4 linked regions of the Saccharomyces cerevisiae S288C genome follow. Changing the gene in region 4 together with the main gene of any one other region gives a genetic interaction. Each region holds a gene or a part of one and is shown on either strand. Other genes may lie near its edges. The genes, in order: YLR036C, MAK32, RDS1 and RDR1.

Region 1 (2,776 bases), on a different chromosome or scaffold from region 4:
GATAGTGGATTTTTATTCCAACACTTTCATACGTAACGGGGGTAATATTACTAGCTGTTAGAATAAGAGTCAACGATCATAATTGACTAGTAACGCAAATACTACTAAACAGATGATGTTTTAGAGTTTCATTCTAACAAATTGATAATGTAGTAGAATAATGAATGACAAAGTATAAAAGAAAGGAAGACAAAGTGATTTTATTATCAGAACTATCAACTCCCTTTCGTGAATTCCAAGACTGTTGAGGAGAACTTCTAGTATATTTTGTATACCTAATATCAACAACGAAATCCCAACAATTAATACGAAGTTCACCCATTTTCTGATAATTGTTACGTGCAAATAATAGAACTACTTTTGTCGAGGTGTAATCTCGTATTCAAACTATATAGTAAATTATTCTCAATGGTCGAGTAATGCAAGAAGATGATATTGAATACTTTGCGTAACTTTACCAATTATCCAATATGCAACAGTAAAATGATACCTTCACATTTCAAGCTAATTCCAAAATAATACATATTAGGTAAAATCCTCAATTTAATTGCCCGGTTTTACCTTCAGACATCGCTCCCTTTCCATTGACACATCTATACCCTTCAATGAACCCGCTATGTAATATCAACGCATCGTAAAAATAGAATAATAATGCAGTAGTACATATCCAGCCTAGCTGCAATCTAAATAGCTGTGATAGTCGGTGTAAATTAATAGTTTGGTCAGTTTTAAAAAAAAACCTAATTTTGGTACAAAAGTAGAAGCTGAAAGCAGTCATTGATACCAATAACAAATACTTTAGCTGAAACCATTTAGGATACTTTTTTCTGGCAGCACAGCTGGGACATACTACCTTCGAACATCTCTTTGGCTTTGTTTTATTTTCATTTTTAAAATGACCGTTCTTTCGATATAAAAAGAAAACTATAATAACGAGGGAAATTGTTACCGCCCCCAGAATCATATCTATGATCTTAATGATGATTGCTTTTGGGTACTTTTCAATCAAATTATCTACTGATGGCACCATAAAACAATTTATAAAATAAAGGCTACAAACGGCCTTTGTTAATTTTTCTATAATTAATAAGGAATTAGACTTTGGGATCTCATCTTGGCTTTCTGTCGCACTAAGTTCTGCCTCTTTCATTATTTCCTATACTTTGAAGGAGAAAGTAAACTTTAACGGCAAGTTCCTGTCTTAACTACCTTTTAGTTCTCGTGTGTTGTGAAGGGCCTTTGAGGAAAAACTCGAAAGTTTGTTCCGTACTTTTAAACTTTCAATTTTTTACCAAAAAGGCTATTTACCGCTTTATGGGAAGATCATGGCAAGTCAAATCCACGTTAAATGGAACAAGATTAACTTGCCACAGATCAAATGCTGAATTGAAGAGAAGTTTTAAGCATTAAGATTCTTAATATGATCATTAATATATCAGTACGTGTCTCAACTGGAATCGTATAAGGTTCTTGTAAGTACAAATTGTATGCAGAAATTTAAATGCGAGAACAAAACTTGAATCTCCCCCCGCATTTAAAAAATATCTTTTTGAACACAGTGCAACTGATTAAAAGTACCTGTAATACATATATATGTTTGTATACGTATGTATATCTAATTATTTCTTACCGTCAAATCATAATTATTTTTATCCGTTCGTAAAGCAATCCAGTGCTAAATACCAATTGTGAGGCCATCGGCTTAGTTTGGAACAGCAGTGTAGATACCGTCCTTGGATAGAGCGCTGGAGATAGCTGGTCTCAATCTGGTGGAGTACCATGGGACACCAGTGATGACTCTAGTGACTTGATCAGCGGGAATACCAGTCAACATAGTGGTGAAATCACCGTAGTTGAAAACAGCTTCAGCAATTTCAACTGGGTAAGTTTCAGTTGGATGAGCAGCTTGGAACATATAGTATTCAGCCAAATGAGCTCTGATATCTGAGACGTAGACACCTAATTCGACCAGGTTAACTCTTTCGTCAGAGGGAGATAAAGTAGTGGTGGCTGGGGCAGCAGCGACACCAGCAGCAATAGCAGCGACACCAGCAACAATTGAAGTTAGTTTGACCATTTTTTTCGATTGAACTTTTGTAGATCTTTTTAGTGAAGATGTGAGCTCACTCGAATGTAAATAACAATGCCAAATTGTCGGAAAGAGTTAATCAAAGCTGCTCTATTTATATGCCGTTTTTTAATAAGCGACGGACGAACAGATAAATTGTTGAATAGCTATTTCACTGCTGATATTTCTCTTACTTGGGCTCCCCTATCCCATACTCTTCACCACTACAAATATGCAGTTGCCCTTTCTTCAACAATGCTTTTTTTATAGATCTCGTATACGGATCCGCGCCTTTGTACTACCTATATCTTATTATGATATATACAGGAGCACAGGAATGTTCGGTACAGGGATGATACCTTTAAAGGAAGTTTTGGCATGCCTTGACAACTTCAATTAATCTTTGGCCAAGAAAATGAACCAGAAATCAAATTTTATTCTGTGCCCTCTGAACGAGGGCAATATCCAATGTTTGACACTAAACGGTTGTCAGGAGAAAAATTGAATGTTTCCCAAATCAGAAACATTAAAATCCCTCTATATGATCAGAGGAGTCGTACCTGTTAGGGTATGAGCGAGGAAACGTGATTGAGAGTTATAAACTGACCATACGAAGAGTTACGGCCATTGATTGGGTTCATGACACCCAGGGAAGTTTCTTTTGGATTAAAATCACAAGTCTTGCAATTGCTGTATGTATTGCATGAG
Region 2 (3,465 bases), on a different chromosome or scaffold from region 4:
TTAATAACCTTAGCCAAAAAGATTGGATTTTTTTCTAATGATGAAAACTCATACTTTCATGACTGCTTAGAATTATTGGCACCATCCCTCACCAAGGAAGAAAGAGATAATTTTGACAATAAAGCGATCCCCGGCGTTGATGCGTATATTAATTTCTTAGATGAGCTGAGAAAGGACGCCTCAATTACATGGCCATCCTTAGTAACCAGCTTATGGGTTGCTGAGGAACTCTATTGGAGATGGGCTCGTGATACTCCTAGAGCCCCAGGGTTGCATTGGAAATATCAAAAATGGATTGATTTACATGATGGTGAGCATTTTCAAACTTGGTGTGAATTTCTAAAGGCTGAAGTTGACAAGTTTCCCGTCGAAGAAGTGGAAAGCATATTTGTGAAGGTTTCACAGTTCGAGTTCGAATTTTTTGAATCTTGTTACAACGCCTAATCTCAAGTAGTATATAACACTTACTTATATATATATATGTATATTTTTGCAGAAAAATAAGAGCAATGAACAAGCTGATATGATCATCGTGTTAGACTTTTGTAAAGATCGTTTATATTATATTGAAGACCGGACTGTGAAAGGTAAAATTTCAGTCTATCCAAGAATGTGATTCCGTTCCAGGTTTTAGCAATTGGATCGTACCTCGGTATTCCGAATTGTTCAATTATTGCGCCTGCAGCGATGTTCCCACATATACTAGCAATATCTAAGCTTTTCGTTAGGGCATAAGAAACTGCAAAGCCGCCAAGGAACGAGTTTCCCCCGCCAGTAGGATCTAGTACTTTAGACTGAGTTTTGAAATGGTAGGCGGGGAAATGGTCATAGGTTCGTCCGTTCTTAAACTTCTCACTTACCGATATGCTTCCGAGGGCACCGCATCGTAGAATACACATATTGTTTTCATCCATGAAATCATCGAAACGATGCGCTAATGCTAGACATTCTTCCAAACTAGTCGGTTCCTTGCTACTTAAACCAAATAAGCGACTTGATTCTTCGGCATTTGGAGATAATATTACCGTAACATCGTTCCTCTGCATTACACTTTTAATGTCATTTTGATGATCAAAGTCGCAAAGATCTGGGAATGGCTCCCAAATCACGATTGGTTTTGTGCCCTTTGAACTTTTCACCCGTAGCAGATCGTTTATTATGTCTAAGCATCTAGACCCAGAACATAGCAAATGAAACGCATGCATTTCATCAATTATCTTCTGCCCAAATGTGGAAATCCAGTCATCGACGTTAATCTGCTTCTTCGGCGTCAAAAACTTGAACTTTCTCAAATCATCACTTCCCTCGTAATAATTCAACCCTTTGGTAGTTAATCTGCTAAAGTCATCTCGAAACCTCACATCAGTACCCCATGAGTCTATTTCCCTTATAACTTCCTTTGGAAAGTCAGAGCCTCTGTCCACTATCCACTTCAAACCTTTGGATGTGACATTGCCGGAAGATATTATGCATGCACCCAAAATGGCAAAAGTCCCTCCGCCTCCTGGGACATTCTTATAGTGAATATTATATTTACTACGCTCGATGTCGTCTATGATAAACATGCCATTAGTTATGACTAGGCTTTTCGTTTCTGTAGAATCCTCTTCATTCATCATTATCACGTTCTTTATTTTCTTAGAACAGTAAACTTCTTAAATCAAATGTGAGAAGTGTTTTCATGTATAGCCAGGTTATGCAATAATAGAAGGGATGAAAGCTTTAGTCGCGCCTGTTTAATATGCAATTACTTTAGCACTACCGTTTATTGTCTTGATATGACATTTATTTGTCAGCTGAGGATCTCGGAAATTTTAAATGTAAAAAGGAAGTTCCCTAGAGTAATCGTAGCATTATCATACATTCAGATTCACAGAGCAACATGCAAGTTTTAAAATACATTATTAAGTTTTTGCAGAGGCAAATTATACATGAACACTCCTAAAGTACATTTAATTACAATTATCTCAGAGAAGATCTTCTTGAGTCCCAACCAACAAAAGTTTAAACACACAAAAATCGTAGCGTGCATCGTCAAGTTATGTTTGTAAGTACTGGGATAGTTAATTACTACATAGGAATATTCAAGATGTCTTTCTGATATCAGAATCGTTGTTTGTTTATTACGTCATTCCTCTTCATTTCAGTAATTCTTCTGAATAAAAGCGGAACCAAGACAATATACGATGTGCTTTTGACAGATTTGTACTTTTCATATTCGAGTAAATTTCCCTATGTTTGATGGAGTATCATAGTTTTGTTTTTCTTTTTGTTTCCTAGTCAGCCCTTTTCTTCCAGGTACATTATCTATTGAAAATGGACCCCATTATTGCTATGAATTCTGTATTACCTTTCTTGGATTGTAATTTTTTTTTCTTAAGTTATACTTGGGAACAAGACCAAACATGTTATCTTGCATAAACCTTATAAGCAAATTGGTGATATTGAACTGAGATTCCGATGACCGTGAATACCATCTAACAAGAAAATCATTTGGAATTTTGAGAAAATACAATATCCATAATAAGTACGAGAGATTAATTTTTGTTTTCAGATCAACATTCAAACACGGTTGTTAGGTGGTTGTTTTCTGATGTACTCACATGAGAATCACGTGAATTTTCAGATAGTTGTTGGGATTCCATTATTGATAAAGGCAGTAATATTATGTATACAGAATATACTAGAAGTTCTCCTCGAGGATATAGGAATCCTCAAAATGGAATCTATATTTCTACATACTAATATTACGATTATTCCTCATTCCGTTTTATATGTTTCATTATCCTATTACATTATCAATCCTTGCACTTCAGCTTCCTCTAACTTCGATGACAGCTTCTCATAACTTATGTCATCATCTTAACACCGTATATGATAATATATTGATAATATAACTATAGTTGATAGACGATAGTGGATTTTTATTCCAACAATTCTATATACGTAAAATTATAGCCTTTACCAACAATGGAATCCAACAATTACCAGCTATTCATCAAGTGATCAGAAAATAATATTGAGGTTTTAGTTCACATTTTAGTAACAGTATTTATATTTTTAAGTCACTTATTAAACGTAATTTTTCATAATTAAAGAGCCTTGTTGGCGCAATCGGTAGCGCGTATGACTCTTAATCATAAGGTTAGGGGTTCGAGCCCCCTACAGGGCTTTCTTTTTTCTTGGAAAAAGAAAGAAACTACATTACATGTGCCGCAAGCGCAAGTAACAATGTTTATAGCTTATCTAACGGGGAATGTATTTTAAATTCAAACAACTTGAGTTATTGAAATTATGAGTGAACCTTTCCGTCATACTCATTGCATTGCGCTCAAAATCTGCGAACGTATCGCACCAGCTATCTGAGTATAAAATAATAATACGCTTCATAATATATACTTTTTGGAACAAGTGGCCATTAATAGTGATATAGGATTGCTGTGTAAATGCTAATATCACATATAG
Region 3 (4,757 bases), on a different chromosome or scaffold from region 4:
CGGCAGTTTCAGAAAGAAATCGGAGGCGTCCTAACTTGCTAGATGAGTCGGACGCGGACCCAATCATTTTAAGCACGATGGATATGCTTCTTCTAGATGATCGAAAGAGTAATTGAATTTTTTCAAGTCATCATCGAAACCAGCAAAAGATTACGATATTATCCTTCTATTTACCGCAAAGTGTGTTGTTGTTATTATATGCATATTTGAGTATCGTGATCCCTTTTTTTAATCTATTTTATGCATGTAGGACATCTCGGCCGAGCGCAATAGAGGAACGGCCGAGATACTTATTTATACGCACCGCACCTATTACATTCCGCCTGCCTAACCATGCTCATTTTTTCAAATTGACGAGCAGGTTAAAAGAAACACTGCGAAATGTGAGGAATCTTTCCGTCTTGTCGAGTCTTAAAACAGTGGAAAAAACGTGGAGGATAACAGTGTTTCTTGTTTTTGGCTTGTTTTTTTTTTTTTAGCCTTTCCAAATATCCGTATTCTCACAAAGAAGGCATATCGCTCAGATTTTCACCTAATAAATCCCAGAAGGCATCAAAATTGTTGTTTTCCAATAGTTGATTTAAAGCCTCTTCTTCGCTGATATTGAAAAATTCTTCAGCCGTGTTTTGGGACATAGCGGTATTGGCTTTTATTGCGAAGGAACTGGAGAGAACTGCATCCTCCATCTGGCACAACAGAACTTGATTGAAACTCTGCAAACTCTGGCTGCTTATTAACTTTTGTTTGATTCTTCTCGAATTATTGCAGTCCAATCCCCATTTCAATCTCACGGCTTGTTGTACTTTTGGCGGTATTTCACCATCACTGGAAATCTTATCCCAAAACCCATTTGTCACAGATACTAAGCCGCCAACATCGATCAAATACACAACGTATCTAAACATGGGAACAGTTTGGTAAGCACCAAAGTAACTATCTTGAAGTTTTCCCTTTGCTAGATCCACTAAATGTGCCATTTGGTTACGAATGTGTTTAATAAGTCTTTCTAAAATGACAATCATTTCATCTTCTTTTTCATTATCGTTAGTGGATATACTGGAAGAGGCCAATTTTTTCTGACTTTCTTGCTTGTATGAAAACCTTAACAAAATACGACATTGGAACATCCAGATCCTTACAAGCATAAAACATATTTGTTTATCTATGATATAACCGCGACTCTCTAAAATGTTCCCTTGAAACTTATTCTCGAGATAATCAGATATCAACCCTGCTAGCTTTAAGTATGCATTGAAACTTTTCAAAGTAAGGAAATGATAGTTCTTTTCATATTCTTCCCAGTGCATAACACATTTTTTTTCAAAATGTAACGATAGGACATCAAAAATGTTTAAAAAACACATACTTCCCACAATATTTGTAAGAAATATTTCAGTTTTTTGAATATCCATGACATCGAGAACCGTACTTTTGCCAACTTTGATCGCATTTGGTTCCTTTTCATGAAGGGGTTGGTAAATCGAACTTGTAGGAAAGTTCTCAGCCATAAAATCTTCAGATCTTTTAATATTTCCTAAAATGTGGAAAAGCTGCGGATGTTGTATAACTGAAGTGCAATCAGACATTAGTTTACTCAAAATGACGTGAAATTTGTACTTATTCCAAACAATATCATTCATTTGCACGTTCGATTCACTCGCAGAACTTTTTTCATACTCTGAGGAAGCTTCAATATATTCTTCGAAGTCTGTTAAATATGCCTCCATATATTCACTATTTGATTTACCAGCATCACCTTCAGCAAGAGAAATTTGAAAAAGTAATGACTGAACTCCTAACCATAATATCCGTCTCTGCCTTATCACTTCTGGATCTTTGAAACGTTTGTACTTCGAAGGCTCATATTGAAGACCTAAGGTCATGGACAAATTTAAAAGATGGTGCAGAGTAAGCAAGTTAGTGGGGCTCAGTACACAATCGGGACTCTCGGGATCTAAATGCTCTGAAACGTAGAAATATAAAAGGCAAGTAAAAGTGTTCTCATTTGGATAGCGAAATACATCCAGGAGGCATAATAGTTTATGACATAAAAGAGAAAGTTTCCTGGCACTTTCGGAGGCATTTTCTTTTACCATTGAAAGAAGATTTGCATCCAATTTTGAATGCATCAAGGCCATGGCCATTACTATTGTAAGTAATGACAAAGTTTCTATTTTTTTGCGCACATTTTTAACTTCAGTACTAATTTTCCAACGATTATTGTCGTCTTGTAAAAGCAAACTAGTGAGATCGCTCTCAAAGAGTGAAATGTCCATAAAAGGATAGAAGGGATAAATATTTTGATAGAAACACCTCAAAAGTATTTCACAGTCTTTTTTTTGCATCAACACGTCTTCCACTTCAGCGATGAGTGACGGTAGAAGAGTCGAGAAGTTTTCTTCTTCCATTGAAAATGCATTGTATAATAACCCTAAGGCGGCAGACTGAACTCGAAATTGCTTACTATGTTCTATCCGTCTAAAAATGGCCTTTTCTATGAATGACAATGGTCCTAGTATACTTCTTGATGTGTCTTCACAAGGAATACCATTAGCATAATTGCTAAAGTCAACAAGCGCCATGCCGTACAACGAAGCACAAAGTGCCCTGATATACTGGTCATGTTGCGCCAGACTATGCGCAGCAAAAGGATAATCCAGAAATGTAACTAATCCTACTATAACTAGCATATCTTCGGCGTTCCATATCGACAGCGTAGCATTAACGACACCTTCAGGCACTTGTAAGGAATATCTAAGCCCAGTCCTTTCAAGTACAGGTTGCTGTTCGAAATTGAGCTTATGAGAGGAATTGAATCCATCAGAGTCGTTTGCTGCAACATTGGCAGATAAATCTGTTCTCTCTTCATATTCACACTGTAATGAATTTTGTTGGCATCGCGAGCAAGCAGGCCGCAGTTTATCACATTTCCGTTTGATCTTTTTGCATTGCAGGCAAACCAATCTTAACCGAGGTTTTTTTACTGTAATCGAATCCATCAGAGCATTTCAGCAGCCAATTTCATGTTCATTTGTTTATCTACCGCTTACATTAATAAAGTATTAATGAGTAACATTATTAGTAATGATGTCAAAATTTCGTTCTCAATGACTTGTAATAATGAGTGTAATAGTGATCTGCACGGGTCTTGAGTAGAAAATCTACCGAATGCAAAAATGTGAAGAATACACGCTACTATGTAAATCTTTATTTTTCAACTCATTTCAAACCATTGAACCATCCTCTTAGATAGCACAGTATATTAATATAGGCATTCTTTGTAAAAATTTGCGCTCTTCTCTTTTAAAATTGAAGTGCTTTAAGAGGACCTCATCAGACATGCTCGGACTCTAGATTTCGAAGTAAAAGCATGATTAACACTCTACCTTTCGGACGAAAATTGCATTAATGTACCTACTTAATGGGTATTCAGTTTTCAGATTTAATAGTTTGGCTTCGATACATATGAGTAGGCTAAGTATTAAGTTAAATCGCAGAACAAATGTAGACGTACTCGACATGAATGGGTAAAACCCTGCACACATTTCGTATTGAATAAAACTTACTGCTCTGCACTGTTGTCGAGAGATTCTAAATTTTCATCAAAATTTCCCTTAAGTTTAAGAAATATCCTATTCAAGAAATGAATGTCCCTATATATAGGTCATGTGACTACCGAAGAATTGGTTTAAGGTATACATACAATGCAAACCACTTTTCTCTTGTTATGTAATGGGTCATGATAAATTCCGAGATTTGACATGCATTTTAAGAGATTCTGAAAAATATTACGTATATAGACTATTTATGGAATTTCTTATCATAATCGACCAAAGTAAATCTGTATTTGACGTCTCCGCTTTCCATCCTTGTAAAGGCATGGCTGACGCCTTCTTCGCTGATCGGAAGTTTTTCCACCCATATTTTGACATTCTTTTCGGAAACTAATTTCAATAGTTGTTCGATTTCCTTCCTAGATCCGATAGCACTGCTTGAGATTGATACTCCCATTAGGCCCAACGGTTTTAAAACAAGCTTTTCATTAACTTCAGGAGCAGCAATTGAAACGATGGAGCCTCCAATCTTCATAATCTTAACGATACTGTCAAAATTAACTTTCGACAAAGATGATGAGCAAACGACAAGAAGGTCCAAAGCGTTAGAGTATTGTTCTGTCCAGCCTTTATCCTCCAACATAGCAATATAGTGATCAGCACCGAGTTTCATAGAATCCTCCCGCTTGGAGTGGCCTCGCGAAAACGCATAAACCTCGGCTCCCATAGCTTTAGCCAACAGAATCCCCATATGCCCAATACCACCGATGCCAACAATACCTACCCTCTTACCTGGACCACAGCCATTTCTTAGTAGTGGAGAGAAAACTGTAATACCACCACACAATAATGGAGCGGCTAGCGGACTTGGAATATTTTCTGGTATTTGAATAGCAAAGTGTTCATGAAGCCTCACGTGGGAGGCAAAGCCTCCTTGTGAAATGTAGCCGTCCTTGTAAGGAGTCCACATAGTCAAAACGTGGTCATTGGTACAGTATTGCTCGTTGTCACTTTTGCAACGTTCACACTCAAAACACGCCAAGGCTTGGGCACCAACACCAACACGGTCACCGATTTTTACCCCAGTGTGGCACTTGGATCCAACCTTCACCACGCGGCCAATTATTTCATGTCCAAGGATTTGATTTTCTGGGACTGGACCCCAATTACCAACGGCTATATGAAAATCAGATCCGCAGATAC
Region 4 (3,837 bases):
TTTTATTGCTGATGATAAGATCTAGAGAACTCTTCAGGGATGTTTTTCTACATACGTTCTAAGCTTTCCCACCTACACTAAACCAAATACTAATAAAGTGTATAAAAATTTCCGGACCACTCAAACAAAATTTCGCTCAGCAATACTTCAAATCTTGACTTGCTTTTATTTTTATCTTTCGGTTTTCCACCTGACGTTATCAACTTTTCTTTAATGAATTGAACTTCCAAGCTTTAACACTGTTCCTGAGCCTCTTGAGTATTGACATAAACAGTCAGACCTTCTCTCGTATTTTTATAGATCGAACTTGAACCATCAATTTGGTGCAATGCAGTGCAATTTGCATTTGGTTCAGACACTATGTCCAAGAAAAGAATATAATATCAGTCAAGGTTTCACCCCTCATTCCAGGCGTGACGGGATTTCTTTAAATTTCCTATTTTCAAATACCGGATATATTACTTTCTGCGCAATTATCAAAGATAAAATATAGTAAGCAGGTATTAAACATCAATTCCATTCCCTCTAATTATAAATCAATTTGCTTCTCGATACACATAATCTATAATACTCTTTTACATAAAGTTTAACGTGTCTGATGGATCTAGCAAAGCATCCCAGTCAATATCGAGTAGGTGAGTAGTTTCAAGATTAGATCTCTGGTGAGTTGCCTGCTCAAGCTGCTGAATTTCTTGTCTTTTTTTTTTCATGGAATCCTCAAGAAGCAGTTTTGCGGTCTTTTGTGCTTCAAAAGCAATACGTGTACCGAGAATTTGAGTAATATTATCTAACGTTTTCATGGCAGTAGCAACATGTGAAAGACTTTCCGGTGTGTCGATGGCAAGAAGGACACAGACGTACTGGAATGAGGTGCTCAACACATTCCACCATGCTTGATCCAGTTTTACAAGAGCGTATGCTGCTGATAGCGCAGTGTTGCCGATATCAATTATTTGTAAAACAACATTTTTATCAAGAATATGATTCAGCAAACGAAGTCTTCTATACAAAGAGAGGCATATATCACCCTTGGTCAACGACAAAAACGGATGTGCGTTTGGTGATTCATGAACGGCCGCCAGGGCCTGCAACAATTGCGCTGCGTTTGCGTTCACGCTGTCTTGGGGAATCAGGTGTGCTAACGCGACTAAATGAGCTGTAAAATTACCGTCCGTCTCCTTAACTGGCTTGCAAGTAATTCTATTCAGCGTAACACTTGAGCGCCCATAGTCATATGAAAGAATGGTATTGATTGACCATGCACACCAAAATAATCTTCTAGTGTGTTCGCTCACTACAGTAGTTCTTTTTGGTGGAACGTTGTTCGATATCGCTATATCCTCTCTGTCAATCTCATGATGCAGGCCAATTGCCTCAGAAAGATGGATGGTTACGCAGCTAGCTAACCATGCTACATGGGGCCTCGAAGTGGCTCGCAGGTAAATGGTGCGCAAAACCCATGCGGAGACTTGCTCCACCGTGGGAATGCGACTGAAAGTCGGGTCATCAAGGATCCCTTTGGCATATTGTACTATATCCATCTCTCGGGGATGGCCAAGACTTCCCATAAAAAATGATCCTAAAGCTATCACCCCTGCAATAACAGCCCCATACTCTAAGGTTTTTACGTCGCCATCCCAGTATTTTTCAACATTCTTTGCCAGTTGCTCTGGATTAACAACATCAAATATCGGGTGAACAACTGAAAAATAAACTTTTGAGATACGGTAATACTCTTCCTTTGTAACTAAATCAGAAAGAAGGACATGTGAGTTTGGATTTTCTTCCGGTCTGATTCCGCAATGCCAAGCGAAGGAATGTAGGCGTGGAGGATTAGTTGATCGGAGTTCGAGACCAAGACAGCGGGGGAAAGCAACTGCAGAGTGCTGGATCGTGTACCTAGACTTAGTTGGATCTACAATGTTTTGACTTGTAACGTTCTGTGTATTTATAGGCTGCGGTTGTTCGTTTCTATGTATACCCGGAAGAACAAAAGGTCTGCTCTCCGTATCAGGAGATGTTTCACCTACTTGTTGCACTTGAGGTGATGCCGAAGGGACACGACCGTCAATATAATGACATACATATCCATAGGCAACGCACATTTCACATGGAGATTTGCCATTACATTTCCTTTTACGTTCCCTACAGGGCACGCAAGCCTTTCGGACTCTTTGTCGCTTGTGTGGTAATGCTGTCGATCCTGGGGATGCCATTTGGTGAGCTTAAAGTAGGAAAGTGTGCGCTAAGTTATCTTACTGAAGTTCTTTCAGGTTTCTACTTGAAAAAATAATGTATCTTTTCACTCGAGAATGGCCTCTTGTAATTTTCATATTTATCGCACGATACGGGATATACTGGCTCCTCTCTATCACTTTGATCGTACTATATTTATTTCTATTAGTTTGGGTTATATACCACGATGAAGTATTTCTCTATATATGAACTTATTCTATAAAATGCTGCTTTTCGGAGATCCTTTTTTTAGACTTCATAAAAGTGCTCCATGCATACGTTGCTGCGACAAAAATGCCAAGTCCGCTCAACCCGATGCCCATGTACCACGAACAACGATATCCTTTCAAAGGCTTGGCACCTCCGTCATTTACTCTAGATTCAATTGTACCTGCAATACCCAAACCTATCGATATCGAATAGTTTACCACCGTATTAACCAAAGAGGCTGCAAGACCTTGATGTTCGTGTGGCATCGAGTCACTAAGCATTATTGTAGCGGCCGGAAAGGACATGTCCATTCCCCAAGGCATAACAATGATTGACACAAACGTTTGAGCCCAATACGTTTGGTGAACGGGGGCCGTAGCAATCAATATAGTTCCGACTGTGAAAGCTGTCATCGCAAAAAGCATAACTGTGCTTGGGGGTGTATGGCTTAGAAGGAAACCTGTCGTCACGGCTGCACAAAATCCACTGATTGCTACAGGTGAAAACTGTGCACTAGAAAGAAGGGGGGTTTGGCCCCTTGAGTCTTCCATGAACTGCCATGTATAGAATATCCAAATACCAAAGCTGGCCCATCCCGCAGCTATGCAGCTAAGTACAAAAGCAGTATCACTAGAAAGAGCAGCAAATGGTAGCAGAGGGAAAGCTGCTCGGGACTCGATATATGCAAAAATAACCAAGAAAAAGGTACCAACTATCAAAAGAGCGTATGTGTATGGAGTTTGCCAACCCACAACGGGGCCTTGGTTCCAAGCGAAATTAAAGAGAATTAATCCAACAACGCCGGTAACTGACCCTGCAAAATCGATTCGTTCCAACAACTTGAAAGATGAGGCATCGCGGCTTGGCATGGGGGTGTGAGGGATTACAAAGTAACCTGCTACAGCTAAAACAAAGCATGCAATACCCATTATCCAGTAAGCCCATGGCCACCACGCCAGTTGACCCAACATGGATGAGAAAACAGCCCCAAGGAAGAAGCCACCAGGTGCTGAAGCACCAAACAGACTAAAGACCATGTTTTTTCTTCTTCCTGGCTTATATGTGCGTCCGAGAATCGCAATGGCATTTGGCAACAAAAAGGCCGGACCCATGCCTTGAAATGCACGACAGCAGTCAAAAAAAATCTGATTAGAGTAGACGCTAAACCCAGCAAGTAAGGACCAAAGTGCGTACCAAAAGAAGCCAAGGACAAAGAATTTCTTGTGTCCGAAGATATCTCCGAGTCTTCCAGCAATTAAAATGAATGTACCAACAGTTAGCGAATATGCGGAAGCAAACCAACTAAGTTGTCCAGCATTCGTTGTTCCAAAACTGTTACCGATGATGTGAAGCGGCGCTAATGATTGTCCAAGTCCTGCCTGAGTCATTAGT

What was found.
Region 1: mutations in RDR1 (region 4) and YLR036C together harm fitness more than expected from each alone (negative genetic interaction), as found in Saccharomyces cerevisiae (one large-scale study listed by BioGRID).
Region 2: mutations in RDR1 (region 4) and MAK32 together harm fitness more than expected from each alone (negative genetic interaction), as found in Saccharomyces cerevisiae (one large-scale study listed by BioGRID).
Region 3: mutations in RDR1 (region 4) and RDS1 together harm fitness more than expected from each alone (negative genetic interaction), as found in Saccharomyces cerevisiae (one large-scale study listed by BioGRID).

The regions. Positions count from the first base shown.
Region 1 is NC_001144.5:220,983-223,758, forward strand, and holds YLR036C (uncharacterized protein), read right to left. Parts: upstream 1,151-2,776; coding exon 539-1,150; downstream 1-538. Other genes in the region: seripauperin PAU23, read right to left, coding at 1,703-2,077.
Region 2 is NC_001135.5:150,991-154,455, reverse strand, and holds MAK32 (Mak32p), read right to left. Parts: upstream 1,620-3,465; coding exon 528-1,619; downstream 1-527. Other genes in the region: PET18 (Pet18p), read left to right, coding at 1-444. UniProt on the Saccharomyces cerevisiae protein: Necessary for the structural stability of L-A double-stranded RNA-containing particles. Necessary for growth at 37 degrees Celsius as well as for maintenance of the killer plasmid.
Region 3 is NC_001135.5:309,200-313,956, reverse strand, and holds RDS1 (Rds1p), read right to left. Parts: upstream 3,000-4,757; coding exon 501-2,999; downstream 1-500. Other genes in the region: AAD3 (putative aryl-alcohol dehydrogenase), read right to left, coding at 1-67; ADH7 (NADP-dependent alcohol dehydrogenase), read right to left, coding at 3,802-4,757. UniProt on the Saccharomyces cerevisiae protein: Zinc cluster transcription factor involved in resistance to cycloheximide.
Region 4 is NC_001147.6:1,049,669-1,053,505, reverse strand, and holds RDR1 (Rdr1p), read right to left. Parts: upstream 2,217-3,837; coding exon 576-2,216; downstream 1-575. Other genes in the region: AMF1 (Amf1p), read right to left, coding at 2,448-3,837. UniProt on the Saccharomyces cerevisiae protein: Transcriptional repressor of multidrug resistance genes, such as PDR5. Required for growth on non-fermentable carbon sources like lactate or glycerol.